3 linked regions of the Callithrix jacchus genome follow. The protein of the gene in region 2 purifies or fractionates together with the protein of the main gene of each other region. This does not show direct contact. Links are inferred from orthologs where the notes say so. Each region holds a gene or a part of one and is shown on either strand. Other genes may lie near its edges.

Region 1 (9,915 bases), on a different chromosome or scaffold from region 2:
CACTGCCACAGAAACACTCCCCACACCCAGGAAGCCTGAGTCCTCTTGGGCCCTCCCCTACCTGGTTGCTGGGTCTCCTGGGCAGGGCTGGCCTGGGCGCGACGTCACAGGGCACTTAGGTCAGAGTTATAATTAACCAGGGCTCAGTGAAGGGGGAGGGAAGCCCCAGCATGGTAGGGGAGGACGGGCAACCCCAAGCCCCTCTGCTCATGCCTGCCCAAGGCCACAGGCAGCAGCCCACACCAGGACGGGCCTCCCTTGGCTGCAGTGTGGAGGTGAATGAGAGCTGGGGAGGAGGAAGGGAGCAAGCAGCGTGACTCAGACCTGGCCCAGCGCCAGGAACAGACCCAGAGAGACGCACCCCTCTATCCTCCAGGACCAGGGCCTCACTCCCACCCTGCAGCCACCAAAGATTCAGGAATCCAGGCCCTCTGCTCCCCTCTCTGCCCACCATAGATGACAAGAGGATTTTGTGGGAAAATATTTTATTGCTGCCACCCTGTGGTAAGCTGCTGGAGGTGAGGGGTGAAGCTGGGTGGTGGATCACAGCATCTTCTGGAATAGGGCGATGGCCTCATCCACCTTCCTGAGCTCTGCTTCTGTCTGTTGGAGCTGAAGTGGAACCAGGTGGGGGTGGGGTGAGGACCCAGGTCCAAGCAAAGGGACACCCACACGCCCAGAGCAAAGTTACAAAGATGAGCAAGGACCATGGGGGGTCAGTGGCTCAGAGGAGGCACGTGCTTGGCTGGCCAGGCTCCCCACCCATTCCCACCAGCATCCCCACTTCCACCTCTTGGGTCTTGCCTTTTTCCACCGAGTGGTCAGTCCCCAAGAACAAAGGAGACTCAGGGCATACATGCCCCCACCCATGGTCCCCACCTGAGTAGAGCACAGGCTCCCAGGAAGGTCACTTCATTTGTCAGATGAAGAGGATATTGACCCCCTCCCGAGGCTCTTGGGAGAACCATGTGAGATGAACTACTTCCACTCAAGGCTCTCTAGCTCTTGGCCTCCTGAGCTAGATGACTGGTTTTCTCTGTGTCTGTGCAGTTTACTCCACTGCCTCTCTCTGGCGGAACCCAGGAGGCAGGGGACAAATGAGACTGGCTTTCCAGGGTCAACCCAGGAGGCTTGAAAGTAAGTGGTGGGAAGTCCAGGGCTCCCTGACGCCATGCGGATCCCAAGCCCAGCCCAGGCCTGCAGGTTTCCATATTTCGGGGAGCAGGTGGGGAATGAAGGGTCTGGCTGGGAGACAGGATGCCTGGTTCTAGGTCGGCCTCCATCTCTGACCTGTTGTGTGACCCTGGGCTGTGACCAGCCCAGAGCTGTTCCCCATGTGTAAGGAGGGGCCATTCCATGGTTCCTGCTCATAAGGCCTGGGCTCCATTCTTCCCAGTGGATTCCGCAGGGTTGAGCACAGATTCCAGCTCCCAGACCAGGATTGGCTTTTGTTTTTGTTTTGCGGGTTGTTGTTTTTTTTGTTGTTTGTTTTTGTGTGTGTGTGTGACAGGGTCTTCTCTTTGTCGCCCAGGCTGGAGTGCAGTGGCACGACGCTGGCTCACTGCAGCCTTGGCCTCTCGGGCTCAAGCAATCCACCCACCTCAGCCTCCCGTGTAGCTGGGACCCCAGGTGTGTGCCACTATGGCCGGCTAATTTTTGTATTTTTGTTGTAGAGATAGGATTTCACCATGTTGGCTGGTCTCAAACTCCTGGGCTCAAGTGATCCACCCACCGCAGCCTCCCAAAATTCTGGGATTACAGGTATGAGCCACTGAGCTGGCCTGTTTTGTTTTTAAGGCTGGCAGGAGTGGAGAAGGAACAAAGAAATCTATAACTGGTTGTGATCAGTTACTTGTCAATACCACAGCCCTTGGACCAGCCCAGACCAAGGTTCTGATGGAGGAAGCGGATGGTGGAAATGCCCACCCATGCCACACACCTTGGCTTCATCTGCCTCCTGGACTTCAGGGGGCACCTTGACAGGGTAGCCTGAGGCAGCACGGCGTTCCCGCAGACGCTGGGCCTGCCGCTGTGCCTCAACTCTCTTGGCTTGCAGCTTGCTCAGCTCCCTCGCTGGGTCCACCAACCCCTGCAGCTGCAGGTGGATGGAGCAGCGATCAGAGGCCAGGGCTACAGCGCAACCCTGTGGGGCGGGAGCCCCCAGGGCCAGGACGGCCACCACACCTGCACTGGCCAGTGCCTGCACGTAGCCCGACACAGCTGACACCAAGGCACCCGTGGCCTCATCTGCCACTTCCAGGAAACCTGCAGGGGAGGGAGAAAGGTGAGGCCTGGCTCCGTGGAGACAGGAAACCAAGCAGCCACTGCTGGACACTGGGTCCCAGAGTAGGCTGAGGGGACAGTGGGATGGGGTGGACATCGGGGCCTGAGGCTCACAGTCAGGCCGGATCCGGGTGAGATTGTAGTCAGCCCGAAGGGAGCGCACAGCTCTCGTGATACTTAGCGCCAGCTCGAGGGCGGCTTCTGCCTCCGGGTCCTTCCAGGAGCACTGTGGGGTGGAGGAGGGGGTAAGGGGACCTGGAGGGCAGGCCAGACTCCCCTCTCCAGGCCAGGCCATACCTCCGAGGGCTCCGGGTATCGGGTAATGCAGAGGCTAGGGGGAGCTTGCGGCGTCCTCCGAGGCAGTCTCTGGAACAGCTCCTCTGTCACGAAGGGCATGAAAGGCGAGAGCAGGCGTAGGCCAACATCCAGGCAGGTGTACAGGGTCTGGCGGGCACACTCAGCTGCCACCTGGTCCGCCCCATTCAGTACAGGTTTGAGGCACTCCTAGGGGATTAGAAATACAGAACTCAAGGCTGGAAGTCTAGCCTTGAGCCCTGGCTGTGCCTGGGAGGACTGGGAAGGGGATGGATTGGCTTAGGTCTCAAAGCCAACTCTGGCAAAGCTGAGCCCAGGGCTCTGCTGTCCACCTGCCCCTGCCGTCCCCTGCCCCACTCTGCTCCTTCTCACCAAGTAGACGTCACAGAGCTCATAGAGCCAGAAGCTATACTGGGCAGTGGTGACGGCCGGGAAGTCGTAGGCCTGGAAGCCTTGGTTGCTGAGCCTCACAGCCTCTGTCAGGCGGCTGCGGATCCAGCGGTCCACCAGGCTCTCATGGCCTCCGGGCTTGGGGAGAGAGGGTGTATCAGCTGGTGCACCAGGGGAGGGTACCATAACCCCTTGGGAGCAGGAGTCATGGCCAAATCTTCACCCAAAGTCTGATGAGTCCAAAGTAATCATGTATGTGCCAGGATCTGGGGAGAAATGACAGGCCCCAGCCCCCAATGCCCTGGGCTTTCCAGAGCTTTCTAGAGCTCTAACTGTCTCTGTGTCTATCTGTCCCCCCAGCTACATGGAAGCCCCTCTGGACAGGGGTGCAGCCTGTGTGGGTGCTGCCAGCTTTGCTGCCCATCAGGCCCTTACCTGGGAGGTGGGTGAAGGCACAAAATCCTTCCCAAGACCACGGAGGGCAAATTTGGTGGCATTCCAGAGCTTGTTACAGAAGTGGCGGTAACCCAGTATCCGATTCACATCCAGGTTGATGTCACGACCTAGGTCAGGGGTGAGATGTAGTCCTCAGCATCCTCTTCCCAGCCCATGCCCACCAGAGGCTCAGGGTGGAGGACGGGATGGCCTCACGGAAGGAGTAGCCGGAAGGAAAGATTTGGGCGCCTTACCTTGGGACGTGTAGGCACATAATCCAAACCGGAGAGCATCGGTGCCACACTCGGGAATCCCCGCTGGGAAGTCAGCTTTCTACAGGGAAGAGGCAGGGGGAGGAGCATCCTCAGCCAGTCCCATCCACGCTGTGCTCCTGCTCAGCCCAGCTCAACCCTCCATACCTGCCCTTCCTTGGCCTTCTCCACCTCACTGGGATCAAGGTTGCTGTTCAGCAGCTGGTCATGGAGGCCCTGAGGTTGAAATGGGAGCAGTCAGGTGGCTGTGGCCACAGCCCTACAGCCCTTCCTGGCTGTCCCAGCACCCAGCCCACCTTGGCCACAGCCCTACAGCCCTTCCTGGCTGTCCCAGCACCCAGCCCACCTGCAGGGAGACTCCGTGGATGACATCCAGGGGATCGATGACATTGCCTAGAGACTTGCTCATCTTCCGACCATGAGCATCTCGCACAATGGCATGGAGGTAGACCTGCAGGGCAGGTGGGGAGGCCCGTGAGATGCAGTCACCTCATCCCCAGCCTCAGTGCCTGGCCAAGACTGTGTCTGGTCTACCCAACTATGAACCACAGGCCCCACTAAGTGTCCCCAAGAGCTCATTCAGCGCCTTTATGTGAATCAGAAGTACTCCCTCCTCTGGGAAGACGAAGCCCTGGGCTGGGGCACAGGAATCACTGAGCAGGGACCAGGCTGGATTTCAACCCCCACCAGCTCTCCGTCCACGCTGGCCCACAGCCAACCCCATGTCCCAGCCACTCGGGGCCCAAGTTGCAGCAGAGGAGGGCAGGAGAGGAGGCTGGAGGCTGGGGGCTGTGGGAGGGTCTTGGCTGTCTCCGCACCTCTCTAAAGGGCAGTCTGCCCGTGAGCTTCAGACCCAGCATGACCATCCGGGCCACCCAGAAGAAGAGGATGTCGTGACCAGTCTCCAGCAGTGTCCCAGGGTAGAACACACTCAGGTCTTCTGACTGAGGACAGACCGGGGTGTGAAGGGAAACCAACACCCCACCTCTAGTCCCCTGTCCCGCCCTGCCCTGGCCCCAGGAACTCACCTGGTTGGGCCAGCCCAAGATGGAAAAGGGGAAGAGGCCAGAGGAGAACCAGGTATCCAATACATCCTCATCTGAGACAGGCCAAAGGTTAGAGGTTAGAGGGAGTGGAGCTCTGCCCCCTCAACTCCCTCCAAACCCTCAAGGCCCTGCCTTGCCTTGCTGGAGACTTATCTTGTCAGGGGACACTCCGAACTCCTTGGCCGCCTTCTCCAGGGCCTCTGCCTCGTTTCGTCCACTCACCCAGTACCGCCCGTCAGGGTCCTGCCGCACGTGCAGTGATTACACAAGAGGGTGTGTCTGCTTCTGCCTCACCCTGCCCCTCCTCCCAACCAACGACCCAATAAACCCACCACTCCCCCAAGTGTCCCAGCATCCAGCTCTGGCCCTCTGCTCACCTCCCCAGGGGGCACTGCTGGGTCATTGACAATGACGAAGTATGCTGGGATGCGATGGCCCCACCACAGCTGCCTGGAAATGCACCAGTCCCTGCAAATGTGGGGGTGGGGAAATCAGAGAGGGCCTGGTGGAGCCCAGCCCAAGCCCTGCCCCTCCCACACGGAGGGCCCTACACACCGGATGTTGTCCATCCAGGCATGCCATGTGCGCTGATGGGCCTCAGGCAGGATGTGGAGGTCTCCCCGTGTCACGGCCGCACTGGCAGCCTGGGCCATCTCTCCGCAGCGCACGTACCACTGCGGCCGCAGCAGAGGCTCTACTACGTCCTTCGACCGGCTGCAGGTACACGTAGGTGAGAAGCCAGGAGGTGAAACCCTGAGGTGCCCTCCACCTCCCTCCCCTCCCTGGCCCCCACCCTCACTTGCAAAGTGGCACCACCATGGGGTTGTCCTCGATGCCACGGAACAGTCCCCGTTCCTTCAGCGCCACCAGCACTGCCTTCCTGGCCTCAAACCTGGGTAGGCCCTGGGTAGAAATAAGGCCTCATCATGGCAATGCCCAGCCACCCCTCCATCTCCCCGACCCGGGCACTCATGCCCCAGGCAACCTCACCAGGAAAGGCGGAGGCACGTTGACGAGGGCCCCCCGGGAGTCCATGATGCTGATGGCCTCCAGCCCATGCCGCTGCCCAACTTCATAGTCGTTTTGGTCATGTGCGGGGGTGATCTTCACAGCACCTGAGTATACATATGGGTGCCTGGGTCATGAGAGACTGCATGGAGTTCCTTCCTACACTCACCTCTTTTGCTGAAGGATATAGCTCTGAGACCACTTCTGGCCTCTACCTATCTAATACGGTCCCTTGAGAACCACCCCAAGCTCTGCCTATTTGGCTGAAGCTTATTTTCTTTTTATCTGAGAGAAGATGGACAGCTAGGGTGCAGCTCCAATCTCTTCCTCTCCCCACAGGACCAGCCCCTTGCCCACCTGTGCCAAATTCCATGTCAACAAATTCATCGAAGATAATGGGAAGGCTCCGAGACAGGAATGGGTGGATCACGTTCTTCCCCTTCAGGTGCTGGAAGCAGAAAAAGATATTAAAAAATGCATCAAGTGGGGTCAGGTGCCATGGTTCCCTCCTGTAATCCCAGTCCTTTGGGAGGCCGAGGTAGGCAGATCATGAGGTCAAGAGATGGAGATCATCCTGGCCAACATGGTGAAACCTCATCTCTCCTAAAAATACAAAAATGAGCTGGGCGTGGTGGCATATGCCTGTAGTCCCAGCTACTTGGGAGGCTGAGGTAGAATCACTTGAACCCAGGAGGCGGAGGTTGCACTGAACCAAGATCAAGCCATTGTACTCCAGCCAGGTGACAGAGTGGGACTCCATCTCAAAAAAAAAAAAAAAGGTTGTTGGCTGGGCGCGGTGGCTCGTGCCTATAATCCCAGCACTTCAGGAGGCCGAGGCAGGTGGATCACGAGGTCAAGAGATCGAGACCATCCTGGTCAACAAGGTGAAAACCCGTCTCTACTAAAAATACAAAAATTAGCTGGGCATGGTGGTGTGCGCCTGTAGTCCCAGCTACTCGGGAGGCTGAGGTAGGAGAATTGCTTGAACCCAGAAGGCGGAGGTTGCGGTGAGCCGAGATCGTGCCATTGCACTCCAGTCTGGGTAACAACAGCAAAACTCCGTCTCAAAAAAAAAAAAAGATTGTATAATGTGATTGTGGGGATTGTGGTACATCCCTATAGTCCCGGCTACTTGGGAGGCTGAGGCAGGAGAATCACTTGAACCCAGGAAGTGGAGGTTACAGTGAGATAGCGTCACTGTACTCCAGCCTGGCAACAGAGTGAAAATCTTTCTCAAAAACACAAAAACAAAAAATAAAAAAAGTTAGCCAGGTGTGGTGACGCGTGCCTGTAATCTCAGCTACTCTAGAGGCCGAGGCACCAGTACTGCTTAAACCTGGGAGGTGGAGGTTGCAGTGAGCCCAGATGGTGTCAGCTGCACTCCAGCCTGGGCAATAGAGTGAGACTCTTGTCTCAAAAAAAAAAAAAAAAAAATGCATGAAGGAGCCTAGCATAATGGCTCACATCTATAATCCCCACACTTTGGGAGGCTGAGGCAGGAGGCTTCCTTGAGGTCAGGAGTTCAAGACAAGCCTGGTTAACAGTGAGACCTTTAAAAATGCACTAATGGCTAGGCCCAAGTCCTTCTTTTCCAGGGCCCTGACTGTCCCAATACCTGAAAGCCCTCAAACAGTCCCCAGCAGCTCTCCCGTCACAGCTGGAAAGAAGCTAAGGTCAGTTTCTAACCCAGTTTCCTCTCCTCAGCAGGGGCCTCAGCCCAACCCCTCCACCCCAGTAAGTATGGGAGCCCTTTTTGGCCAGGATTCCTTCCCCAGCTGTGGACAGTCCCCCACCTGGTATCTGGTATCTTTGGGGTGCACAGCTATAGCCACATCTCCCAGCATTGTCTCAATCCGAGTTGTTGCCACCACCACCTCCTCGTCGCTATCTGGGGTGACAAAAGGCCTTGTGGTCTGGGCCCTGGCCCTTTACTGCCACTCCCAGCCCAGGATCCTGGTGCCCCTGGCTCCTACCTGAGCCTTGGACCTTATAGGCAAAGGACACGAGGACCCCAAACTCCACCTTTTCCTTGTAGCCAGGCACAGAGAGCAGGGTGCGGCCTGTCAACTCCTTCTTATCCACCTGTAAAATGGGTATTTACAGGCGTGGGCCAGGGGCCAGGGCCAGGGCCAGGGTAGATTGGAGATGGAGACAGGCCAGGTGGGGGCGCACCTCAATGTCAGAGATGGCGGAGTTGAGGGTGCAGGACCAGTTAACAAGGCGGGTACTGCGATAGATGACACCTTCCTCATGAAGCCGGACAAAAGCCTCTGTCACAGCTGCTGAGAGTTTCTGGAGTGGAGCAGGGAGAAGTCAGAGAGATGGGCCTTGTGTCTGGAGGCCCAGGCAGACAGCCAGAGGTCCAGTGAAGCCTGGCCCATACAGAGTCCCACTGGCCAGTACAAAGACCCCTCTGAAGGGAGTATTTTTCTTGAGGGGGAGAGGGGACTAAGGAAACACAAGAGCAGGCCACAAGTCTTGTGATGCTGCAGATGGCGGGGAAGACACTCAGCTGGGGACAAGTACTGCTGCAGAGGACCCCAGGGGTTCAGGCTCCATGGGAGGTGGGGTCCTGATCATGTGCAATCTGGAGGAATCTGGAGGTCCCAGAGCCGAGACAGGGAACAGGAAGGGCTACGACATAGAAAAGGCTATGGCAAGGGGTGGGAAGTGGTGATTGTAGCTGAGCCCTCCATGGTGTTTTATGTGGGCCACCTCCTGAGAGAGGGCTGCAGCACCTGTGCTCTCTTCTGTGGGGGTCCCACCCTGGGAAGCCTCCTACTCCTGCTCCAGCTTTGAGAACCCTCCCACGTACAGGGTCCATGGTGAAACAGGCTCGATCCCAGTCCAAGGAGCTGCCAAGCTTCTTCAACTGGTGGTAAATCCGGTCACCTTTCCTGGAAGTAGACAGACAGGCTGGTGCCAGCACTCATGCCTGGGCTGGAGGGAGACATCAGGTGGCTGATGGGGCAGCATGGAGCTCACTCATCCCACTGAAATTGACCTGGGCCCTAGAGACAACTGACTCTGCTTCTGAGGGTCTGACCCTCTGGCCAGGGGTTACAGGTGACAGAGGTCTTCTGGATAGCAGACAGGAGGCAGGCCTGCGATGCCCACAGGAATGCTGCATACTCACTCCTCCTTCCATTTCCAGACCTCCTGTAGAAAGGCCTCGCGGCCCAGCTGGTGCCGGCTCAGCCCCTGCTCACGCCATAGTTTCTTCTCCACTACCACCTGAGTGGCAATGCCTGCGTGGTCACAGCCAGGGTTCCAGAGGGTGGTCTCCCCACGCATGCGGTGCCTGTTATGGGGCATGGAGGACCAGAGAGTGAGCCAGGCCAGTGGAGCCTAGCACCAAAGGAAGCAGAGGCTTCAGGCAGGGAGTCAATGGACTCTAAAGAAGCAGGGAGGCCAGGCGTGGTGGCTCAAGCCTGTAATCCCAGCACTTTGGGATGCTGAGGTGGGTGGATCACCTGAGGTTGGAATTCAAGACCAGCCTGGCCAACATAGCAAAACCCTGTCTACCAAAAATACAAAAATTTCCAGGCATAGTGGTGCATGCCAGTAATCCCAGCTACTTGGAAGGCTGAAGCATGAGAATTGCTTGAAACCGGGGAGGTAGCGGTTACAGTGAGCTGAGATTGTGCCACTGCTCTCCATCCTGGGTGAGAGTGAGACTCTGTCTCAAAAAAAAAGAACAAAGAGGAGGCTCCTGTCAAACAGGATAGCAAAAGTTCTAATTGTTGAAATAAGTTACTAAATAGGAAGAAAATGGTATCTGGAAATAGATACAAGTCGATTTAGTATTTGTGAAAGGTGGCACTTCCTATCAGTAAAGTAAGGAGAAACTATTCAAAATATTTGTTTGGAACAATGAGCTAATTATTTGGGGAAAAAAAATCTCCCTTTTCCCAATAGTCACAAAAAGTAACTTTAGATAGATTAAACAACTCAAGCCAGGCGCAGTGTCTCATGCCTATAACCCCAACACTTTGGGAGGCCAAGGTGGGAGGATTGCTTGAGCCCAGGAGTTGGTGACTAGCATGGGCAACATAGTGAGACCTTGTCTCTGCAAAAAGAAAAAAAAGCCAGGCATGGTGGATGCACCTGTGGTCCCAGCTACTTGGGTGGTTGAGGTTGAGGCTGCACTGAGCTGTGGTTGTGCT
Region 2 (10,395 bases):
TGGATGGATGGATGAATGGAGAGGTAGATGCATAGATGGATAGATGGTGAGGTAGATGGATAGACAGAAGGACAGATGGGCAGGGAGGTGGGTGGATGGGTGAGTGGGTAGATGGGTAAATGGACGGATGGATGGATGGGGAGGTGGATGGATGGATTGATGGGGAGGTGGATTGGTGGATGGGTAGATAAACATACATGGATGGGCGGGGAGGTGGATGGGTGAGTGGATGGATAGATGGATGGATGGATGAGGAGGTGGATCGATGGATGAGTGGATGGGTGTATGGACAAGATGGATGGGTGGGAAGTGGGTGGGTTGATGGATGGATGGATGGATGAAGAGGTGGATAGAAGATGGATGAATGGAAAGATAGATGGGGAGGTAGATGGATGGATGGGTGGATGAATGGAGAGAAGGATGGATGGGCAGGGCAATGGATGGATGGATGAATGGAGAGGTGGATACATAGATGGATGCATAGATGGATAGATGGGGAGGTAGACGGATAGACAGAAGGATAGATGGGCAGGAAGGTGGGTGGATGGGTGAGTGGGTAGATGGGTGGATGGACAGATGGATGGATGAACAAAGGATGGATGAACAGGGTGGGGGTGGGTGGATGGATAGCTGGATGGAGAGAAGGATGGATGGGCAGGGCGATAGAGGGATGAATAGATGGATGGGGAGATATTTGGATGGATAGGTGGATGAGTGGATGGACAGAAGGATGGATGGGTGGGGAGGTGGATGAATGGATGGATGGATGGATGGGGAGGTGGATGGATGGATGGGGAGGTGGATGGATGGATGGGTGGGGAGGTAGATGGATGGATGGATGGAGAGAAGGATGGATGAGTTAGGAGATGGATGAATGGATGGATAGAGAGGATAGATGGGTTGGGAGATGGATGGATGGATGGATGGATGGATGGATGGATGGATGGATAGATGGGGGATGGAATGTCCCCCAGAAAGTGTGTGGCAAGGGGAGAGATTGGAGACAGCCTGGTCTTGGGAAGCCTCATAGGGCCCTGGTCTGGGGCAGGCAGAGCTGGCCAGGCAGGTCTCCAGCACAGCACCCTGGCTCACCGCCGATCTTATACACATCCTGCAGCGGCAGGCGCAGGGGTTTGTCCGTGGGGCGTGTTGGGGGCAGGATGGTATCCAGGGCCTCCAGCAGGGACACGCCACTTGCATTGCCTTCCTTACGCTCCACCTTCCAGCCCTTGAACCATGGCATCTGGGTGGAAGGGAGAAAATCAGTCCATCACAGAGACATCTTCGGCCTCCCCAGCCTCCCTGGGCTGCCTCCAGGAGTCCTCTGTTCAGGCTAAACTGGCCTCATGCCCTTTGAGATGAAGAATTTCCCACACTGCTCCACCCTAGCTCAGCCCCAGCATCACAGGGACCCTGGAAGGACACCTCTCTTAAAGGAGGATTACAAAAACACAAAGTGTCCCTCCCAGCCCAGGCTGCTCAGGAGTTGCTGACACTGGAAACAAACCCCTAGTCCAGCCACAAGCCCTGGGGCCCCTGACCATCAGATCCAGGGGGGGCAGGCGACTTGAACAGCAGGAAGGGCCAAGGGCCGGGCCCCCTAGGGACTGAGCTGGGGGAAGCCTCACCCCAACCCTAGCTCCTGGACACCATGCTGCCTTCAAGCTCAGCCCAGCCCTGCCCGGAGCTTCTCCCGTACGGCCCCGTCCCCTCTCCACAGAGCCTCCCTTCGGGCCACACTGTGCCCCACACCCCAGGGCCTATGTAAGCAGTCCAGGCCAGAGGGGAGTGTGGAGTGCGGGGTCCTTGATGGCTGGCGGCCTCCCTGGGGAGGAAGAGGATGGCCTTCACCACATCATAGCCTGTGAGGAAAGTGTCATTACAGGTAAACAGCACCAGCCACAGGAGATGGAGGTGGGGCTGGGGCAATCCCTGTCAGCTGTCCCCAGACCTCAGCTCTGGGCTCTGCTGCTGGTCTCAGTCTCCCCGCTGTTTCTACTCTCACGCCGGCACCCTCACTGTGGGCAACTACCGCACTGGTAGAGCCCAATGGCAGCCATTCTGAGGTGTCCCCTGGCTTGGAGAACCCTCGGAACACAGTCTCAGGTTCTGAAAGTGTCCACTCATCACCTCCAGCCAAGGCGGAGTACCTGAGCCACAGGCTGCTCGCACAGTGAGCGGCCAACTGACCAGCCAAGAGCCAACTGTTGGCCCTCCCCGTCAGCCCAGAAGACTGCACACTTCCCAAAGCCCAACTGTGCTCCAAAACCTCGGGGAGGCAGCCAGGGAGCCCCCCATGGCCCAGCCCACAACCCCTGCACGGTGTCCAGGGTCAGGACAAAGGCCTGGCAGAGATGAAACCGAGCACCCCCATGGCAGGGTCCTGGAGACCAAGCTCATGGGCCTGGTGCTGGAGGCCGCTGCCCCTGCAGCGCTGACGTGGGGGACCGGCCCTGGCCAGCCTCGTGGGAGGCTGAGTGGAGGAGCAACACTCAGTGCTGAGGGGGATGGGGCTCCCCGCTGGGCCCTGAGCCAGTTAGGGAAACCCAGCAGGTTTTGTGGGGAACCTGCATGTCCCAGGAACAGGCTCTCAACCTCCCCCTGCCACCTACAGCTGCCTTGCTCTGGGACAAGGGGTCTGGCCAGCCCCCACGGCCCACCCCGCCCCAGTCAGCCACTCACGTTGGGTGAGGGCTCCAGCATGTTGTCACCGTGCCAGCCGGAGATGGGCACGAAGGGCACGGTGGCTGGGTTGTAGCCGATCTTCTTGATGTAGGCGCTGACCTCCTTGACAATCTCATCATAGCGCTTCTCACTGTAGGCCGGCTCCGTGGAGTCCATCTTGTTCACACCCACAATGAGCTGCTTCACGCCCAGTGTGTAGGCCAGCAGGGCATGCTCCCGAGTCTGCCCATTCTTGGAGATGCCCGCCTCGAACTCACCCACGCCCGCCGCCACGATCAGGACTGCACAGTCCGCCTGTCCAGTGGAGGACACAGTGAGCCCGGCCCCACCTGCCCGCTGGGGGACACAGTGAGCCTGGCTTCACCTGCCCAGCAGGCAAAAATGCAGTGAGCCCGGCCCCACCTGCCCAGCAGGGAACACAGTGAGCCCAGCTTCACCTGCCCAGCGGGGGACACAGTGAGCCCAGCTTCACCTGCCCAGCAGGGGATGCAGTGATCCCAGCCCCACCTGCCCGGCAGGGGATGGAGACAGCCCAGCTTCACCTCACTCCCAGGTTTATTCAGGCAGTGGGCTGGGATCTGAGCAGCCCGCTGGGGCCTTGGGGAAGGAGACATGGGGGTCCCTACTTCAAGGGCAGTTCGAGGGCCTCATCACCAGGCCTTGGGTCAGGGGACCGAGGTTCAGCCCCGGCTTCACCACCAATGGGCTTTGTGCCCCTGGACAAGTCACTGCACCTCTCTGGTCCTGTTCCTCACTTGAGGACAGACTGAGGTCATAGTTCTCAAAGCAGTTTGGAGGTGGTGGTGTGCGTCCTGCCATCTGCAGGATGCTGTGTCTGGGGTGTCTGTGCGTCTCTGTGAGTGCTCCAAAATGTCACAGTCCAGGCCTGGCTGGTGGCACCTCTGCCCACTGCTCAGGATCCCCATCTTGGCCTTGAGCCCCTCTGTCTATGAACGTGGGTCCATGTCCACATCTGCCCGTCTACCTGGGGACTCTGACACTGGCCAGGTGTCCTCACAAGCACTGGATTTGTTCTTAGGGGGCTCTGACCCAGGATGGATGAGGGTGGCACAATGAGGGGTCCCCTGCCCTCACAGGAAGTACAGGAGTCCCAGCCAACCCAGGGTGACCCCAGGGGACCCCAGTCTCTTTGAAGGGTGTAGCGGCCGCTCCCCCAGCCTCAGCTGCTGTGCCCTGCTCACCTGGGACGTGCCTGTGATCATGTTCTTGATGAAGTCTCGGTGGCCGGGGGCATCAATGATGGTGATGTAGTACTTGGTGGTCTCGAACTTCCAGAGGGAGATGTCGATGGTGATGCCACGCTCGCGCTCTGCCTTCAGCTTGTCCAGCACCCAGGCATATTTGAAGGATCCCTTCCCCATCTGGAGCAGGTGGGGGTCACGGCTGAGGGCGGGACCCGGGACCCAAGTCCCTGGCAGCGGGAGCTGCTTGTCACCGCCCAGCAGGCAGGAGAGACGGGAGATGGGGTCCAGCACTCCCTTGCTCCCCGCCAGGGTCCTGGGTCGCCAGCCCCCTCTGACCCACACCCAGACCCTGCCCCCTAGGGCCGGCCTCTCCACCGGCTCCTAAATGGGCGCGGCCACGCACGTCCACCAGCAGGTGGCGTGAGGGCCTGGGAGTCACTTCATCTCGGAACGAAGTCGCCAGATGGGATAAACCCCTCCCTGGCGAGGGCTCCCCTTTATCTGAAGCTGTGTATGCCCCCAGATCCCTTCCTCAGCCAGAGGCCAATAATACCACCATGTCTAGGGCTGTCAGATAAATAACCCTCTGTGTTATTTGTTTAAAGGTAGGAGAAAGGAAAGTGGAATGAGGTCAGGAGGAGGGCCTGGCCATACAGCTCCTTCCTGCTGCTCCAGCCTCCCGGTCCCTCTGAGGCTTCCCCTCCCCTTCCTCTCTCTGCCAAACAGGGGAAGCTGGGGGGCCTCACCCAGTGGGACCCCCACAGCTGGGGATGGGCTGTGGTCAGGGCAGCAGCTTCGGTCACTACCCAGGTGGGCACCAGTCACTACTCAGCCGGGCAGAGCTCCCCTCCAGAGCCTCAAAGAGACAGGACTCTGCCCTCCAAGAGGCTGCCCAGCCTGAAGGGGACCCAGATGAAACCCAGCTGGGGCCTGAACCAGGAGCCCTCCGAAACCCCCACCTCCTCCCAATGAGGCCAGGTAAAGAATGATGCAGGTTCCTGGCCCAAACGGGTGCAGCTCAGAGCGCCCCAACCCCCAGGACAGAGACTCAGCCCAGGACAGCGACTGCCCTCCTGGGCTCTGGCCTCCCACTCATCATCCAGGTGAGAGCTCCCACAGGCCCTCCCAGAAGTGCGGTTCTCCCCAGAGCCCTGAGCGGGGGGGCGGGGGCACAGAACAGATCCCTACTCATGGCTGCCCCCCACCACCATCTCAGCCACGAAAGAGGAGCTGCTTCAGAAGGTCAGCCAGAGGGCCGCCCCATTCAGGACCCCCACCCCAGGGCCGCCCCAGACAGCAGCCTCCACAGCCCAGCAAAGAAAATGGAGCAGACGGGCCGGCTGCCCATCACTCAGCTATTAATAGCAGTGTGCGTCCTGGCAGGGCCCTGGGACAAGTGAGGGCAGCACCACCCCCAGCCCCAGCCTTGGCCCTGGGGAGAAGGGGGCAAGGCTCCAGGGTCCTCAGCCCCAGCCCAAGTGGGCTGCAGACCCTCCCAGGCCACCTCCCTCACCACAGGGCAAGACTGGCAGTTCGATGGTCACCCCTCCCCCACCAAGCTCCCCCCAAGAGATGCTGCCCCACCGGCCCCTCTGAGGCCTGAGTGCCCCACAGCGGGGGTCCCTCCTGCCCCGGAGGAGGTAACCTGAGCCACATGGCCTGGGGCTGGGGAGATGCCAAGCCTGGCTACCTTGGGAGTTGGGGGGCTCCTTCTCAGGGGGCAAAGAGAAGAGCCCCCATGCTCACCTCGGCTGCCTCCTTCTCAAACTTCTCAATGGTCCTCTTGTCAATGCCCCCGCACTTGTAGATGAGGTGGCCCGTGGTGGTGGACTTGCCGGAGTCCACGTGGCCAATGACCACGATGTTGATGTGGGTTTTCTCCTTACCCATTCTGCTGGAGTGTGAGGGGCTGGCGGGACCCGGGGTGCTCTGGCTCAGGGTGAGGGGGGCTGCAGTGTTTCTGTGGGGCCAGTGGTGGGGGGAGACAGGTGGTGAGGAGCCTCGGGGAGACCCACAGAGACTGTCCTGGCCAGGCTGGGCCCACGTCCCTGCCCACAAACCAAACCCCCATGTTTGGTGGGGAGAGAAGAGTCCCCCCACCACCCTGCTGGACCTGGCAGGGGCCAATAGAGGCTGTACCCTGCCCCCACCCCACACGGGAGCCCCAACAGCCCCATCTGCTGTAAATAACTGGGCACTGGAGCCCTCCACCCATCCTTGCGAAGGGGTTAGCCTTCGTTCTGGAGGGACCACGCAGCGCCCAGCTGGGTGCGCCCATGACCAGCAGAGCTGGGTGATGAGTCACCTGCCCAGTGCTCCAGGGCCCTGTCCTCCATGCTCCCCTCCCTGGGCAGGGCCAGGGACACTGTACCCCACCCCCACCCACTGCCACCCAGAGAGATGGCCACTGCTCCCCACTCCCCTCCTCAGGCAGGGAGGGCGCCATCTTCCCCTCATCCCTGCCTGGCAGGCTGGACCAAAGCCCCGATGGAGATGCACTGCCCAGATTAGGGACCCAGAAGAGCTCGATGCCCCCCCCCAACACTCTCACAGGGGCAGACAGTGGCCAGGAGGTGGGGGTCCCTGTTCCAGCCAGAGGAGGGAGGACCCTGCCCAGCTAATCCCAGAAAATGCCAGGTGGAGATGCCCTCAGCCCCGTGGGGGCATGGGGGGACCCTCCCTACCGTTCTCTCTGGTCAGAGCCCTGGGTCACAGCCCCGTCCCATTGCAGAGGTCAGTGGGGAAACCCACACTGCCCCTCGGGGACAGGTGGCTGGGGGAGGGAAACCCTGGGGTGGAAACACGGGTGGGGGTGGGGAGGGCCCCCAGGTCTCACCAGGTCCCTCAGCGTCCTCTGGCCCAGCGCCCCGGGCCCGCAGGGTCCCCGCGGCCCCAAGGTCAAGGCTACAGGGCGATCGCAGCCCAGGACCCGGCCTGCCGCCCCCAACCCCCGCCCCGGCACAGCTCGGCCAAGGCGGGGTCCCCCAAGAGCCGGAATCCGGGCGCGCGGGGTGGGTGCGGGGCCCGGCCGCCCTCTGCGCACAGGACCAGTCCCGGGGGGGCCCTCAGCGTTTGGCGGGGGCGGGGCGGGGGCCAAGCGTCCTTACCCGGAGCCGAGGTCTCAGCCAGAGGGACTGACGGCGCCGGCGCGGCGGTTTTATCTCCGGGAGGGGGTCCACCTATTGACGGTGGCGGCGCAGTGCACCGCGCCCTGCAGCACGGCAATGCGGAACGCGCGGGGGGCGGGGCGGGGCGCGGACGCGGACGCGCGCGGGCGGGGGCGGGGACGCGGGGGGATGCGGGAGGTGCGGGCCGCGAGGACGCACGCGGGAGGCCGAGGAGGAGCGCGCGGCGGCTGCGCGGGAGGATGGAGGCCTGGAGGCGGCGAGGGTAGCGCGCGGCGGCCCGGGAGGCGGGGCCGGGGAGCAGGTGCACTGCAGCCCGGGAGGCCGGCCTGGGTCTACCGGCTGCTCCAGGCCCTGCTCTTGGGGGTTGCCCAGGGCCCAGGGGCTCTTCCTAATGAGGTCCGGGGCTCAGGCCTCAGGGTAGAACCCTTAGGGTAGAATCTGCTGGTTTCCAGCCCCTGTCCTCATGCGCCTGCCCTCCTGGACGCACTCTGATAGGCCAGAGGCTCTGCCGGCAGATTCAGCCCAAAACCACCCTCCCCCTGAGACCCTGGTCTCCCACCATGCAGGGAACGCTGGAAGCCCGCTCCCAGACCCAGGGACATCCTCCAGAGACACTCCCTCCCCGTGCACCTACCTCCAGCCGCTGCTGGGAAACAGTGCCAGCCAAGGGCCTGACTCAGGTCCAGACACCCAGGCCCCCTGCGCAGCACCCCACCTGGCTGCACCCCAGTGCCTACAGCTGATCCTCATATGAGATCAGGATGCCAAAGACCCGGCCACACTCTGTCGAAAGTGGGGAGTCCCTGAGGTCCTGGGCACACGGGTAATGCCAGCATGGGTAGTGAGGAGGGGATGTGGCCCAGTGTGGACTGTGAGGAGGGGACGTGGCCACCATGTGTTGCATGAAGACCAGGATCAGGGACTTTCTCCCAGACCCCGAGACTGTGTCACCTCACCCAGGTGTTCAAGTCTACCCTCCCACACTGCCCCGCCCCCGACTCGGATCTTCCTGCCAGCGCAGTTTCAGGAGGGGTGTGCTGAGTGGGGGCAGAGCCCGGGCACTTGTCCTCTCAGCCCTGAGTGCCCACTGGGTGCAGACATGGAGGCACCAGGTCCAGCCTAGCACCTGCCGCTGGGCAAAGCCATGGGGATCCCAGAGCCCAGACCCCTGCCTGGCCCACTGGCAGGTGTGAGGAAGAAGGAAAGGCAGGGGCCCAGGGTAGTGGCTGGGGCTAAGCAGTTCTCCCCAGCCAGTGGAGAGGGCCTCTCAGAAGGACACTGGTCTGTGGCTGCATCACCCCATAGGAGTCCAGGGCCACAGGCAGGAGGGGAGTCAGGGAGGGCTGCCAGATGCCCCAGCACTTCTGAGTGCTGCTGATGCCATCGAACAGGAGCCAGAAATAAAAATAACCGCCTGGCGAGAAAGCAAAGCCCACCCCACCCCACCCAGCTGGTCTCTATATTTATCTCCTCCCCTGCAGCCGAAGGTTAGGCTGGGATTTGGGGGCGGGCTTGCTGCAGGTGTTCCACTGGCCCCGGCTGGGGCGGATCACACTGGGCAGGAGGCTGGGATCCCTAGGATGCCCACCCGACTCCCCCAAGGACCACCAGGACTCTAGGCTACCTTTTCCAGACACCCCTCCCCCCGGCTCCTGGCTCACCCACAGCAGTGCTGGGAGCTCACATGTGCTGAGGGGGTCTTGCCACCCACAGGAGTGGCCCCTGAGAGTGGAAAGTGGCAACCTGCCCACAGCACCTGTGTGCTCACTCTGGGTAAGGGTCTCTTGGGTGCCAGGACACGTTTGGTCCACAGTGCTGCCCTTCAGGGTCCTAAGAGCTGCCCACCCAGTACCCAGAGACACTTGGAACACACAGCTGACGGAGCTGCAGTCACCAGGCTGAATGCCAACACTGATTGTCTGAGCCACCACATAGACTGAGTAGTGCTGAAGGACCACTAACCACGGAACGCTCACTGCTGAATAACTGCCGTGGTCTGACCACGTCCCCAGAGTTGGAAACTTAATCCCCAGTGTGACAGTGTTGGGGGCTGGTGCTTTGGGAAGGTGTTTGGGTTATAAAGGGTTTGCCCTATAAACAGGGCTCATGGCAATGGGTTCTCTTGCTCTTCCACCTTCTCCCACCTGAAGACACAGCAGATGCCGGCACCTTGACCCTGCACTTCCCAGACTCCAGACTCCAAACTTCTGTTTACTTATAATAAGCAGAATTTATAAATTTATAAAGTTTTATAATTACCCAGTCTCAGGTTCTGTCACAGCAGAACAAGCAGGCAAAAGCTTTGTCAGCAGCTGGGTAGCAGCAAATGACTTCGAATACAAGCCTCCTAACCAGCCACAGCCAACTCGCCCAGCTGTGCGAGTTCACAGCGTACAGGGGACAGGGACCAGGGCTGTTCGTGTGCACAGTGTATGGGGGTGGAAGCTGCAGGGACTGAGGCCACGAGGCAGGCCCCGCAAGGCTGTCGGAGGACACTGAGAACCTGTGAGGCAGCTGGGCACAGAGGCCAAGATTCCTGTCCAAAGCCACACAGCAAGTAAGGGGCTCAGGAGGCCTGAGCCAGGCCAGCATGGCTTCCACATGGAAGTCTGGGGCCCACCCTGGCCATGGCCTGTGCTTTTCCTGCCCTCCCCCAGGTCACGTCTTGGGCCCCTCTTCCTGCATCTGAGTCCCTGGTCACAGTACCTCCCTTACCAACAGCCTGGGGGGCGGGCAGGGGGATGGCGAGCCGAGAGGGCACCAGCCAATCAGGGCTTCTCTGGGCGAGGCCCCGCCCCTCCTCGCCCCCTCCCAGAGCCCCCAGGACCATCCCTGAGTTGTCTGGGGAGACACAGGCAACCCCTCCCTTGGCTGGCTAGGGTTTCACGAGCCTTGGGAAAGAAGATGCAGCTAAAATTAACCGCTCTCAAGCTGTCAGCCCCGGAAATAAACCTGCCTCCCATTGGCTGCTGGTGACGCCACTGCCGGGTTAATAATAGCCTCCGAGTGCCTGACAAGCCACCTGTGCATGGGGCACAGCCAGGCTATCACCCCAGGACCACCGCCACAGGCAGGTGGAGGCTGGCGGCCCACAGGCTGACGGGGGCGTGGTGGCAGGGTGGGGAGCAGGGCCAAGGCGGCTCTCCGGCCCCCAGGGTCTCAGGATGACCTCAGCCCTGGCCTGGCCCCAGCGCAGATGTGGATTCAGCTCCTGGTCACAGAGCATCTCACCTGCTACCCCACCTGGGTCCCCAGATGGCCACCAGGACAAGGTCCTCCCCCGTGGCCATGCCTTAGGGCTGGCTCCCAGGGGACTGGGCATGCCCTGGAGGCAGGGAATGAAACAGTCTCCATGGCAGCAGAGGAGCTCCTGCGTC
Region 3 (10,511 bases), on a different chromosome or scaffold from region 2:
CTGTGTTCAAGCAATTCTCCTGCCTCAGCCTCCAGAGTAGCTGGGATTATAGGTGCCTGCCAGCACACCTGGCTAATTTTTGCATTTCTAGTAGAGACAAGGTTTCACCATGTTGGCCAGGCTGGTCTCGAACTCGACCTCGTGATGCACCTGCCTTGCCCTCCCAAAGTACTGAGATTACAGGCATGAGCCACTGCACACAGCCTAAACAAATTATTAATCATTAGTTTTTTCATCAGTGACTTTTAATGATACTTAACTTTTTTTTTTTTTTTTTTTTTTTGAGACGGAGTTTCACTCTTGTTACCCAGGCTGGAGTGCAATGGCGCGATCTCGGTTCACCACAACCTCCGCCTCCTGGGTTCAGGCAATTCTCCTGCCTCAGCCTCCTGAGTAGCCGGGATTACAGGTATGCACGACCATTCCCAGCTAATTTTTTGTATTTTTAGTAGAGACGGGGTTTCACCATGTTGACCAGGATGGTCTCGATCTCTTGACCTTGTGATCCACCCGCCTCGGCCTCCCAAAGTGCTGGGATTAAAGGCGTGAGCCACCACGCCCGGCCATACTTAACATTTTGGTCAAGCTATTTGGAACTCAACCCCTTTACTATGTGAATAATTGCGGATTTTTATTACCATTCACTTGTTTATTCGTGGTTTTGGGTGTTTTTGTTGTTGTTGGCATTTTTGGAATTCTCAGGCTCTTTGGTTTTCCAGAAAATGAAGTGCTGCCCTCCGCTGGCTCTCATGATGACAACCTGAAAATGTCTCCCATGACTTTCAGGCTGTGTTGGACTATAAGCATTGCTTAGAGATATTATTCGATGCATGTATCTGTTAAAGAAATCCTCTTTATAATTTCCCACAGTCAAGGCGGCCACAACATAAAATCAGACTGAGAGGAAAACTTCTGCTGATACTTAACATTTTGGTCAAGCTATTTGGAACTCAACCCCTTTACTATGTGAATAATTGCGGATTTTTATTACCATTCACTTAAGTTTATTCGTGGTTGTGGGGTGTTTTTTTTTTTTGGCATTTTCAGAATTCTCAGGCTCTTTGGTTTTCCAGGAAATGAAGTGCTGCCCTCTGCTGGCTCTCATGATGACAACCTGAAAATGTCTCCCATGACTTTTTTTTTTTTGAGACGAAGTTTAGCTCTTGATGCCCAGACTGGAGTGCAATGGCACCATCTCGGCTCACTGCAACCTCCACTTCCCAGGTTCAAGCGATTCTCCTGCCTCAGCCTCCCGAGTAGCTGGGATTACAGGCATGTGCCACACCTGGCTAATTTTGTATTTTTAGTAGAGACAGGGTTTCACCATGTTGGTCAGGCTGGTCTCGAACTCCCAATCTCAGGTGGTCTGCCAGTCTCAGCCTCCCAAAGCGCTGGGATTACAGGTGTGAGCCACTCTACCCGGCCTCCCATGACTTTTAGGCTGTGTTGGTTGGACTATAAACATTGCTTAGAGATATTATTCAATGCATGCATCTGTTAAATCCTCTTTATAATACAGTTTTCCACAGTTAAGGCAGTTACAACATAATATCAGATTGAGAGGAAATAGCATTGTCTAGTTCTTTTTTTTTTGACAGAGTCTCGCCCTATCGCCCCAGCTAATTTTTGTATTTTTAGTATAGATGGGGTTTTGCCATGTTGGCCAGGCTGGTCTCTCAACTCCTGACCTTGTGATCCACCCATCTCGGCCTCCCAAACTGCTGGGATTGCAGGTGTGAGCCACCACACACTGTCTAGATCTATTAAAAAATTGACCTAAAAATTTTTGATCATTTGAGATCAGCAATTCCCAAGCACTAGTTTTGTAAAACTACCGTAAAAAAAACGCCCTATCAAACGTTAGCCAGACCCCAAATTCACTGTCAAAATGAAGCTGTTTCCAATGCTTATCACTTTACTCAAATTACTACCCTCATCCCAGTATTTACCTGCAGCATGAGGACATCAGATTTCCAAATCCAAGTAAAATACTCCACGCCCACAATCAAGCAGCTATGAATTATCACAGGAAAGTGAAGTTTATCTGGGAAGCCTGGGAACCAGCTAGCTATATAATCCCCTCCTAGCACACAGTGTTACTCCAAATCACATTCCCAACTCTTAAAAGATGATTTCTTTACAACATGAGTCATTATTTTAAATTTGTAAACTTTTAAGTAGTTGTTTAATTCATGCCAAATTCTGGGAAGCCCTCCCTCCTCTGGGTTAGGTGTCTTCTAGCAGTGTCACACGTTATATCTTCAACTAAGATTTGCAATCATTGCTTTCCAGCCAACGACTGATCCCAATGCGAAGATGCTGGGTTACAATAAATCACGTCATCAGGCATTGCTAAGGACATCACAAGCGGGTAAAGTTGCACTACAATTTTTTTTTTTTTTTTTCGAGACAGGGCCTTGCTCTGGCACCTAGGCCAGAGTAGCGGCACAACCTCACCTCGCTGCAGCTTCAACCACCTGGGCTCAAGCAATCCTCCCACCTCAAGCTCCCAAATAGCTGGGAATATAGGGTTGGGTGCACCACCATGCTCAGCTAAGTGTTCTATTTTTTGTAGGGTCAGGGTCTCTCCATATTGCTCAGGCTGGTATCGACCCACCCACTTCAGCCTCCCAAAGTGCTGGGATTACAGGCATAAACCCCCACGCCCAGCCTGCACTACCATTTTTATTTTTTTATTTTATTTATTTATTTTTTGAGACGGAGTTTCGCTGTTGTTACCCAGACTGGAGTGCAATGGCACAATCTCGGCTCACCGCAACCTCCGCCTTCTGGGTTCAAGCAATTCTCCTGCCTCAGCCTCCCGAGTAGCTGGGACTACAGGCGCATGCCACCATGCCCAGCTAATTTTTGTATTTTTAGCAGAGACGGGGTTTTACCTTCTTGACCAAGATGGTCTCGATCTTTTGACCTCGTGATCCACTGCACCTGGCCTGCACTACCATTTTTTAACAACAATGCTGAACCAAATTTTTATTATTTAGGAATCCCATATTCATTTAATTCCTTCCCTCAAAATGAAAGGAATATACACACCACCCCTCTATATAACATACTCAAAAGCCATAGGTAATCTTTCAAGCTTTTATTTAAATGCCATGATCCAGGATGGATTTTAGATCTTGTTGAAAGCAGCAACATCCATGGACTGGACATAGTCCTCAAAAGCAGTGATCTGCTCCTCCAGCATATCTGTTCCAACTTTATCATCTTCAACTACACATTGTATTTGAAGTTTCTTAATTCCATATCCCACCGGAACTAGTTTAGCTAAAAAGAGCATTAAGAAAAATCTTAGTTAGAAAAGTCCTGTAGAGAAAGAACTGAAGCTGTATGAAAATTCCAGATGTCAGTTAAAAAAAAAAGCAATGCCTAAACTCACATGAGCCCCAGACTAAGCCGTCTGCTTGAATGCTTCTGACACACTCTTCTAATTTTGCCATATCTGTCTCATCATCCCAAGGTTTCACATCCAGTAAGATGGAAGACTTGGCAACAAGTGCAGGTTCTAAAAAACAAACAGCATTATTCAAATAATGAATTACATTTTTTTCACCCTACTCTAAGACACAAACAAATCATCTCAATTTGTTTTGAGAGCGACTATCTCCTTAGTCGAAACAACGGATACATCTTGTGTCTGTCACACATATGCCCACTTTCTGTTTTGCTAAGAAAGAGGTGTTTAATTGTGTTAACAGTTTCTTTCCCACAGAGGAATGCCACAACTGCTACCGTAAGAACAGCTGCAGACCAGTAGCTGTGGAAGAACACCTACAGGAGGTTTTCAACATTAACCTATTCAAGGAATGTGAAGGAAATTACTTCAAGGACGACTCTGAAAAACATTACTTACATTATTATGAAATAAATGACCTACTTTTGGCTTTCTTTGATTCATATTGTGCAAGACGTTCTTCCCTTAGCCTCTTCGCTTCTTCACTTTCCTGTAAAAAAGAAAAAAATTAATCCATTTTTTCAGAAAGCCACTTGTTCCTCTGCTTAAAACTAGTGGGGTCATCACAAAAAAGACTGGCCTTATCAGAAAAAAGCAAATACATCACGAACTCAGCCGAAAGATGGTGATTTGATTTTATTCATCATGCAACCAGTCAGAATTGAGAAAGGCATATAAATCAAAACCAGGATTCAAATCCAGGCAATCTGGTTTATCCACACTGATAAATTGCCGATCAGTGTGTGTGTGTGTGTGTGTGTGTGTGTGTGTGTTTGAGACAGAGTCTCACCAGGCAATTTGGTTTATCCACACTGATAAATTGCCGATCTGTGTGTGTGTGTGTGTGTGTGTGTGTGTGTGTGTGTGTTTGAGAGAGTCTCACTCTGTTACCCAGGCTGGAGCACCATCATAGCTCCTTGCAACCTCCACCTTCTGGGTTCAAGTAATTCTCTGCCTCAGATGGAATTACAGGTGCCTGCCACCACACCTGGCTAATTTTTTTTGTATTTTTAGTAGAGATGGGGTTTCACCAACTTGGCCAGGCTGTTCTTAACTTCTGACCTCATGACCCACCCACCTCAGCCTCCCAAATTGCTGGGATTACAGGCGTGAGCTACTGCGCCCAGCCGATGTATTCTTTATAGAAGATGCCATACCTCCTCATCATCAGATCCGAAGAGATCAATGTCATCATCATCTTTACTATCTGTAGCTCCACTTCCTGTAGTGTCTTCCACATCCACAGGACCATACTTGCCCAAAGCTTTCTTCACTCCTGGCAGGCTTGAAAAACATTTAAATTCAACCACTACTGAGCTAGTATAACAACCTTTTCCAGACAATACAAAATAACTTGTTTCAATCACTATTTATCACTAGATCCCTTTTGCAATAACTTACCCTTTCACATACTCCCAGGTAAACACTGTCATATGTTCGACTGGTCACTCGACAAACATTAGTCCCATGTGAGACAGGATTTTCAATACTCACTACGATTTACTCTTTCAGTATACACATTTCTGTTTGAAATTTCATTAAGTATGCTCAGTTCCATTCTTAGTGAAATGCAGTCCACTTCCCCAAACTTCCACCCTTGTTGGCAGTTTCAGAAGAATGGCCAAGGACTGAATGAATGAGCCACCCTCTCACCCCAGAGGTGGGCCCCCCAGGTCAGGGTCGAGGCACATTGGCAGGGCAGTGTGGGGAAAAGCTGAATTGCTGTTGTCCATGTTCTACCTGTTCTGTGAAAAAATGGAGGACTTCAGTCTCTTGGCCTTCTAAGGTTACTGAAAAATTTAGCTCATAATATCCCAACAAAGCTAAAGTAGCCTGGGTCCAGTTTTGTCATGTGAACATCCTGATTAACTTCGAGAGCAGCCTTATTGCTCAGCTAGACACAAAGATGATTTTACCTGGCCTTTTCCTTTTCATAGGACTTGATGTGATTATACCAACGTAGGGCATGACACAAGTCGGCAGGCGGTGGGCCGGACACTGCTTCAAATACTGCCACATCTGCTTGTGATGGCACATACCTGCCAATGACACAGAAACGTTCATACACACCTTTGAAAGACAAACGCCAGCGAAAATAATGCTGTATGCATCACATTAATTAGTGGGCACTAGCCCCGGCAGGGGTGCTTTAATGATTTTTTTTTTTCTTATCAGCTCCTTAAAATCAAACCATCCTTGGGTCGCCACGTTATCCTGAGAAATGTCTTCCCACTTAGTAGACCTCAACGATTGCAATCTCTAGCATTGCTCTATCTACAGTCCAATATTTTACTAACTGGGCAGCGACACGGCGACACCTGGCTGAATTAAGTGTAAATAAAGTACATTTCAACCTTTTACTGCTAGTGAACCGCTCCCCGGAGCCCGGGCTCGCACCACACGCGGGCCTTGGGAGATGGCAAGGAGAGGCGCTAACCCTTCATCCTCCCTCCCTCCCGGGGCAACCGACGCTGCCCCACGTGGCCCCGGGTCCGACCAGCCTCCTCACCATCCCGTCTCGGCCCGTCCGCTCACCCCTCGATGTAGCTCTTGTCCGCCAGGTAGTCGTTGAGCACCTGGAGGCCGGCGGGGCTTTTCAGGTCTCCGAAACCCATGACGTCTGCTGTATCAAGAGAGCTGGGGAGCAGCAGAGAGACAGAGCATACGCTTACAGCACCCCGCGCTCAAAGAGAAAAAAGGGCCTAGAGAGGCCGGAAAATTCCTTATATAGAGACGGAGGCGTTTCCCTCCACCGATCCCGACCAAAGGTTAAAGGTCAAAGTACGTTGGCATTCTCACTTCTCCACGTACGAATTGGGGGCCCTAAATTAAGTGGCCCACAAATTGTCCCTGGACCCTTCGTTGCGTTTGGAAATAAATTAATAAAATTGGCATGTTTTAAATTCGAACCTCCACAGCTCCGGAAGATAACGAGAACCACCCCTTGAAACGCCGGAGATGACCAAAGACGCTCGGCCACGGGGCTACAGGCCACTTCCGGCGGAACTGCGGGTCCAAGTTGTCCTTCCCGCCTCCCTGCTGGGCCGACCTCCGCTCCGCCCTCGGGTCGGCTGACGGAAATTGCCGACAGACTTGTCGAATGCGAGGATTCTAGTCCCTCCGGGCTTTCCGTTCTCCAGGCCCGGGTGACAGAGTTAGCTGAGGCCGCCATATTAAGTGAGCGACCCGGTCTCCGAAGGGTCGTTGTGGTCCGGACAGTTTAGCAAACAGCCTTCGCGGCTCCGGGGAGAAGGTGAGGTCTTGTATGGATGGGAAGGGTGAGGTGCGTCTCGGCCAGGGGTTTATTTCTTGACGGGACTGTTTCCTTTGGCCCACGCGACTTATTCTTCTCTTGTCCTTGACTGGGGCGCCGCCTCCCGCTCCGCAGCCTCAGAAGCCCCTGAGAACCGGCATGTGGGGGCTTTTAGCCACGGAGTCTGGTCTGATGAAGCAGAAAGGAAGAGGAGGATCAGGGGACACTTGGGAACGCTGGCCCGAATGCACGCTTGCAGGCGACCTTTCCTCTGCAGTGAAAATTCAGGACATTGCCCTCTCAGAGGAGGAGGACGTTTTGTTCCCCAGGAGAGAACTAGTGTCCGATGACTTAGGCGTTAAGACCGAGCCTGTCCCCCCAGATTTCCACACAGCTGGTACAGTGCCTGATTGTTTAGTCGCTGTTGCGTTTTCGTTCACGCCTCTGTTTGTTGATTTTGTTTTGTCCATTGACCACGTTGGACAGCATTTTATTCCTTTCACTGGCGGGGAAATTGAGAAAAAGGACTTTTGAAAAGTTAGCCCAGGATTGCATTGCGAATAACAAAACGTTGTTTACACGTTCTTGGGATCTAATGCTTATACTGTAAGATCTTGAATCAGGCACAACGCTTCACACACGAATTGACAGTATAGAAGTGTAACGGTAACTTTTGATAAGTAAACAGTTATTTTTGTTTTGCGGAATACTCTTGTTTTCACCGAGTTAAGGCTGCCAGAGCACCTGCACTTTTTAAATCCGGGGAAGTGCTCTGTGCAAGTTACGGCCAGAAATTAGAGATTCAGTTCACTTAACAGTTATTGAACATTTACGAGCCAAGAATACGTTCGTAAAGAAGAATAAAATAGGTGATATGACTGGGGAATCGTCAGGAAGTGTTAGATAGGCTGGACAGTGAAAATCTCCTTGAGAGAAAGTTTTTAAGCCAAGATGTGAAGGATGAGGAGTGGCCCGAAAGATGAGAGGGAAAAGCATTTCAGTCTGAGGTTACAGCGGTGGCAAGAGGGGAGGGGCTGTGTGGGAACAGTGTGGAAGTTTGGTGACCTGTTAAGAAGCTATTGAAATACTCCAGGCAAGGAATGATGGTGGATTGGGATAGGGTATACCTTGGATGGATGCAGGATCCATGTTGGAGAACGTGGAATAGTATGGCCCCTATACGGAAAGTTATCCAGTCCAGTATTAGAAATGATTGGTCATTAGCATTTTTCCATCTACAGAGACAAATATTTCTGTTACTACTTGGTATGTTGGTGTTCAATGCACATATGGAAGTGTTGCAAATCTGTGTTTCTTACGTTGGTCTATGCTTTGATGTTAGTGTCAACAGCCTAGTTCTAGTTGATGTCCTATCTAAAGTGAGTACTATTGTTATATCGTATTTTAAATAGTATTAAAGTTTTAAAATTGAATGAAATACTCATTGTTGATTTCAAATCTGTCAATGCTCTAATGCAGCAAGTTTTGGTTTACAATATACATATGCCATCAGTTTTTAATAGGACAGATGCTACTCATTTCTAGAACTTGGTGATACCGTGTTAGGTCTTCAGGAAGGGAAATATGCAAACTCTGTCCTCAAGGAGCTTACAGTCTGATAGGTACTAAAATTGATTACTAACCTACAGTTTAGTAAGTGGAATGATAAAAATAAATATGCAGTGTGTACTGGTACTAAAGAAAAGGCACAAAGAGCCCTTTAAAACTGATTGTCGGTGGGCTGTGGTGGTTCACACCTGTAATCCCAGCACTTTGGGAGGCCAAGGTGGGTGGATCGCCTGAGGTCAAAAGTTCAAGACCAGCCTGGCCGACTTGGCCAACCTTGTCTCAACTAAAAATACAAAAATTAGCCAGGCATGGTGGCAGGTGCCTGTAATCCCAGCTGCTTGGAAGGCACAGGTTGCAGTGAGCTGATATCATGCCATTGCACTCCAATCTGGGTGACAGAGCGAGACTCTTGTCTCAAAGAAAAAAAAAAGCCACACAGAAACTTATTGTCAGTGGCCACCAGTACTGCCTAAGTTGAATTCAGCTTTAACTGGCATTTATTGAGCTCCTACTAATAGCTCATAGTCTAGGAAGTACTGTTTTCCTCCTGCCTTGTAAGTAAAGAACCAGTAACTGATTTACCAAAAATTACTCGCTAGCAGGAAACAGAGTTGATGTTTGCAAATTCAGTATCACATATTCTTAATTAACGAAATGTTGAATTAATGACATTTCCTGTTGTACATCATCTGTGATAAGTGTGCAGAATTTTGTGCTTAAAACCAATGTATATGCACTGTTATCCAATAATACTGTTGCAAGTATTGAAACTTTACTGTCGAAATTTTTTTTTAATACATTCTAATCATATAATTTGCTGCTTCCTTTTTTGCTTGTTTGTTTTTTGTTGTTTGAGACAGGATCTTATTCTGTCTCCCAGGCTGGAATGCAGTGGCATGATTAAAGCTCATTGTAACCTTGAACACCTGGGCTCAAGCCATCCTCCCAGGTCAGCCTCCTGAGGAGCTGGGACTAAAGGTTCATGCCACCACACCCATCTCTTTTTTTTGCAGAGATGGAATCCTGCTGTGTTGCCCAGGCTGATCTCAAACTCCTCGAGGTGGCATCCCAAAGTGTTGAGACTACAGGCATGATGCCACCTCATCTGGCCAATTTGCATTTTTAATACCTTTAGAAGTTCCAAGTGATTTTGCTTAACCTATATGATCAAGCAAACAGGCAAAAAGGTCAGTGCTTACCCTATGTGATCAAGTAAAAAAAAAAAAAAACCAACAAGTTTAGAAGTTTTGGTAACTTGGATGGGCATGGTGGCTCATGCCTGTAATTCTAGCACTTTGGGAGGCTGAGGCGGGTGGGTCACATGAGGTCCGGAGTTTGAGACCAGCCTGGCCACCATGGTGAAACCCCATCTCTACTAAAAATACAAAAATGTTCTGGGCAAAGTGAATCACACCTGTAATCCCAGCACTTTGGGAGGCTGAGGCAGGCTGATCACCTGAGGTCAGGAGTCCAAGACCAGCCTGGCCAACGTGGAGAAACCCCGTCCTACTAAAAATACAAAAATTTGCCGGGGTGGTGGTAGGAGCCTGTAAATCCCAGCTACTTGGGAGGCTGAGACAGGAGAATCACTTGAACCTGGAAGGCAGAGGTTGCAGTGAGTTGAGATCACACCACTGCACTCCTGGGTGACAGCGAGACTCCCTCTCAAAAATAAATACATAAATAAATAATAAAAATGCAAAAATTAGCCTGGTGTGGTTGTGCACACCTGTGGTCCCAGCTACTCAGGAGGCTGAGGCAGAAAAATGCTTGAACCTAGGAGGCAGACATTGCAGTGAGCTGAGACTGCACCACTGCACTCCAGCCTGGGCAACAGAGTAAAACTCCGTCTCAAAAAAAAGAAAAAGTTTCGGTAACTTTTCTTTCTGTTTGTGTTGTTTGTCTTTGAGTCATGGTGTTTATGTAATCCACCCCCATTTATTTCAGTAATTCAGTAAGCCTTTTGGCGCAGTGTCTCAACTTCAGCACTATTGATACTTTGGATAATTCTTTATTGTGGAGGACTATCCTGTACATTGTAGGATGTTTAGCCGGCACCCTGCCCTCTATCCACTAGATGCTGGTAACTTCCCCCTGTTTGTGACAGCAGTGTCTTCAGACGTTGCTAAATACTCCCTGGGGAGCAAAATTGTCCCCAGTTGAGAACTGTTGTTTAGGAGCTTACTCTGTGCCATCCTGTTGGATAGGTACTGA

The links.
Region 1: the proteins of EEF1A2 (region 2) and VARS1 purify together in Homo sapiens (co-immunoprecipitation; 3 studies listed by BioGRID and IntAct, counting the BioPlex papers as one, with this or other methods). This does not show direct contact. The link is inferred for Callithrix jacchus from reciprocal best matches to the Homo sapiens genes EEF1A2 and VARS1.
Region 3: the proteins of EEF1A2 (region 2) and EEF1B2 purify together in Homo sapiens (co-immunoprecipitation; 4 studies listed by BioGRID and IntAct, counting the BioPlex papers as one, with this or other methods). This does not show direct contact. The link is inferred for Callithrix jacchus from reciprocal best matches to the Homo sapiens genes EEF1A2 and EEF1B2.

Annotation. Positions count from the first base shown.
Region 1 is NC_133505.1:39,285,982-39,295,896, forward strand, and holds the end of VARS1 (valine--tRNA ligase), read right to left. Parts: intron 9,051-9,915; coding exon 8,886-9,050; intron 8,647-8,885; coding exon 8,565-8,646; intron 8,042-8,564; coding exon 7,922-8,041; intron 7,832-7,921; coding exon 7,723-7,831; intron 7,638-7,722; coding exon 7,543-7,637; intron 6,198-7,542; coding exon 6,107-6,197; intron 5,857-6,106; coding exon 5,732-5,856; intron 5,645-5,731; coding exon 5,541-5,644; intron 5,456-5,540; coding exon 5,297-5,455; intron 5,210-5,296; coding exon 5,119-5,209; intron 4,985-5,118; coding exon 4,879-4,984; intron 4,795-4,878; coding exon 4,724-4,794; intron 4,640-4,723; coding exon 4,514-4,639; intron 4,147-4,513; coding exon 4,042-4,146; intron 3,912-4,041; coding exon 3,843-3,911; intron 3,757-3,842; coding exon 3,678-3,756; intron 3,552-3,677; coding exon 3,424-3,551; intron 3,127-3,423; coding exon 2,971-3,126; intron 2,788-2,970; coding exon 2,581-2,787; intron 2,510-2,580; coding exon 2,398-2,509; and 6 more. UniProt on the Homo sapiens protein: Catalyzes the attachment of valine to tRNA(Val).
Region 2 is NC_133506.1:58,974,503-58,984,897, forward strand, and holds the start of EEF1A2 (elongation factor 1-alpha 2), read right to left. Parts: upstream 7,024-10,395; 5' UTR 6,727-7,023; intron 5,851-6,726; 5' UTR 5,781-5,850; coding exon 5,637-5,780; intron 4,068-5,636; coding exon 3,888-4,067; intron 2,980-3,887; coding exon 2,683-2,979; intron 1,244-2,682; coding exon 1,093-1,243; intron 1-1,092. UniProt on the Homo sapiens protein: Translation elongation factor that catalyzes the GTP-dependent binding of aminoacyl-tRNA (aa-tRNA) to the A-site of ribosomes during the elongation phase of protein synthesis.
Region 3 is NC_133507.1:127,554,919-127,565,429, reverse strand, and holds EEF1B2 (elongation factor 1-beta), read right to left. Parts: upstream 6,446-10,511; 5' UTR 6,386-6,445; intron 6,113-6,385; 5' UTR 6,091-6,112; coding exon 6,011-6,090; intron 5,515-6,010; coding exon 5,392-5,514; intron 4,760-5,391; coding exon 4,633-4,759; intron 4,131-4,632; exon of another isoform or gene 4,052-4,130; intron 3,966-4,051; coding exon 3,899-3,965; exon of another isoform or gene 3,653-3,898; intron 3,527-3,652; coding exon 3,401-3,526; intron 3,289-3,400; coding exon 3,134-3,288; 3' UTR 3,091-3,133; downstream 1-3,090. UniProt on the Homo sapiens protein: Catalytic subunit of the guanine nucleotide exchange factor (GEF) (eEF1B subcomplex) of the eukaryotic elongation factor 1 complex (eEF1).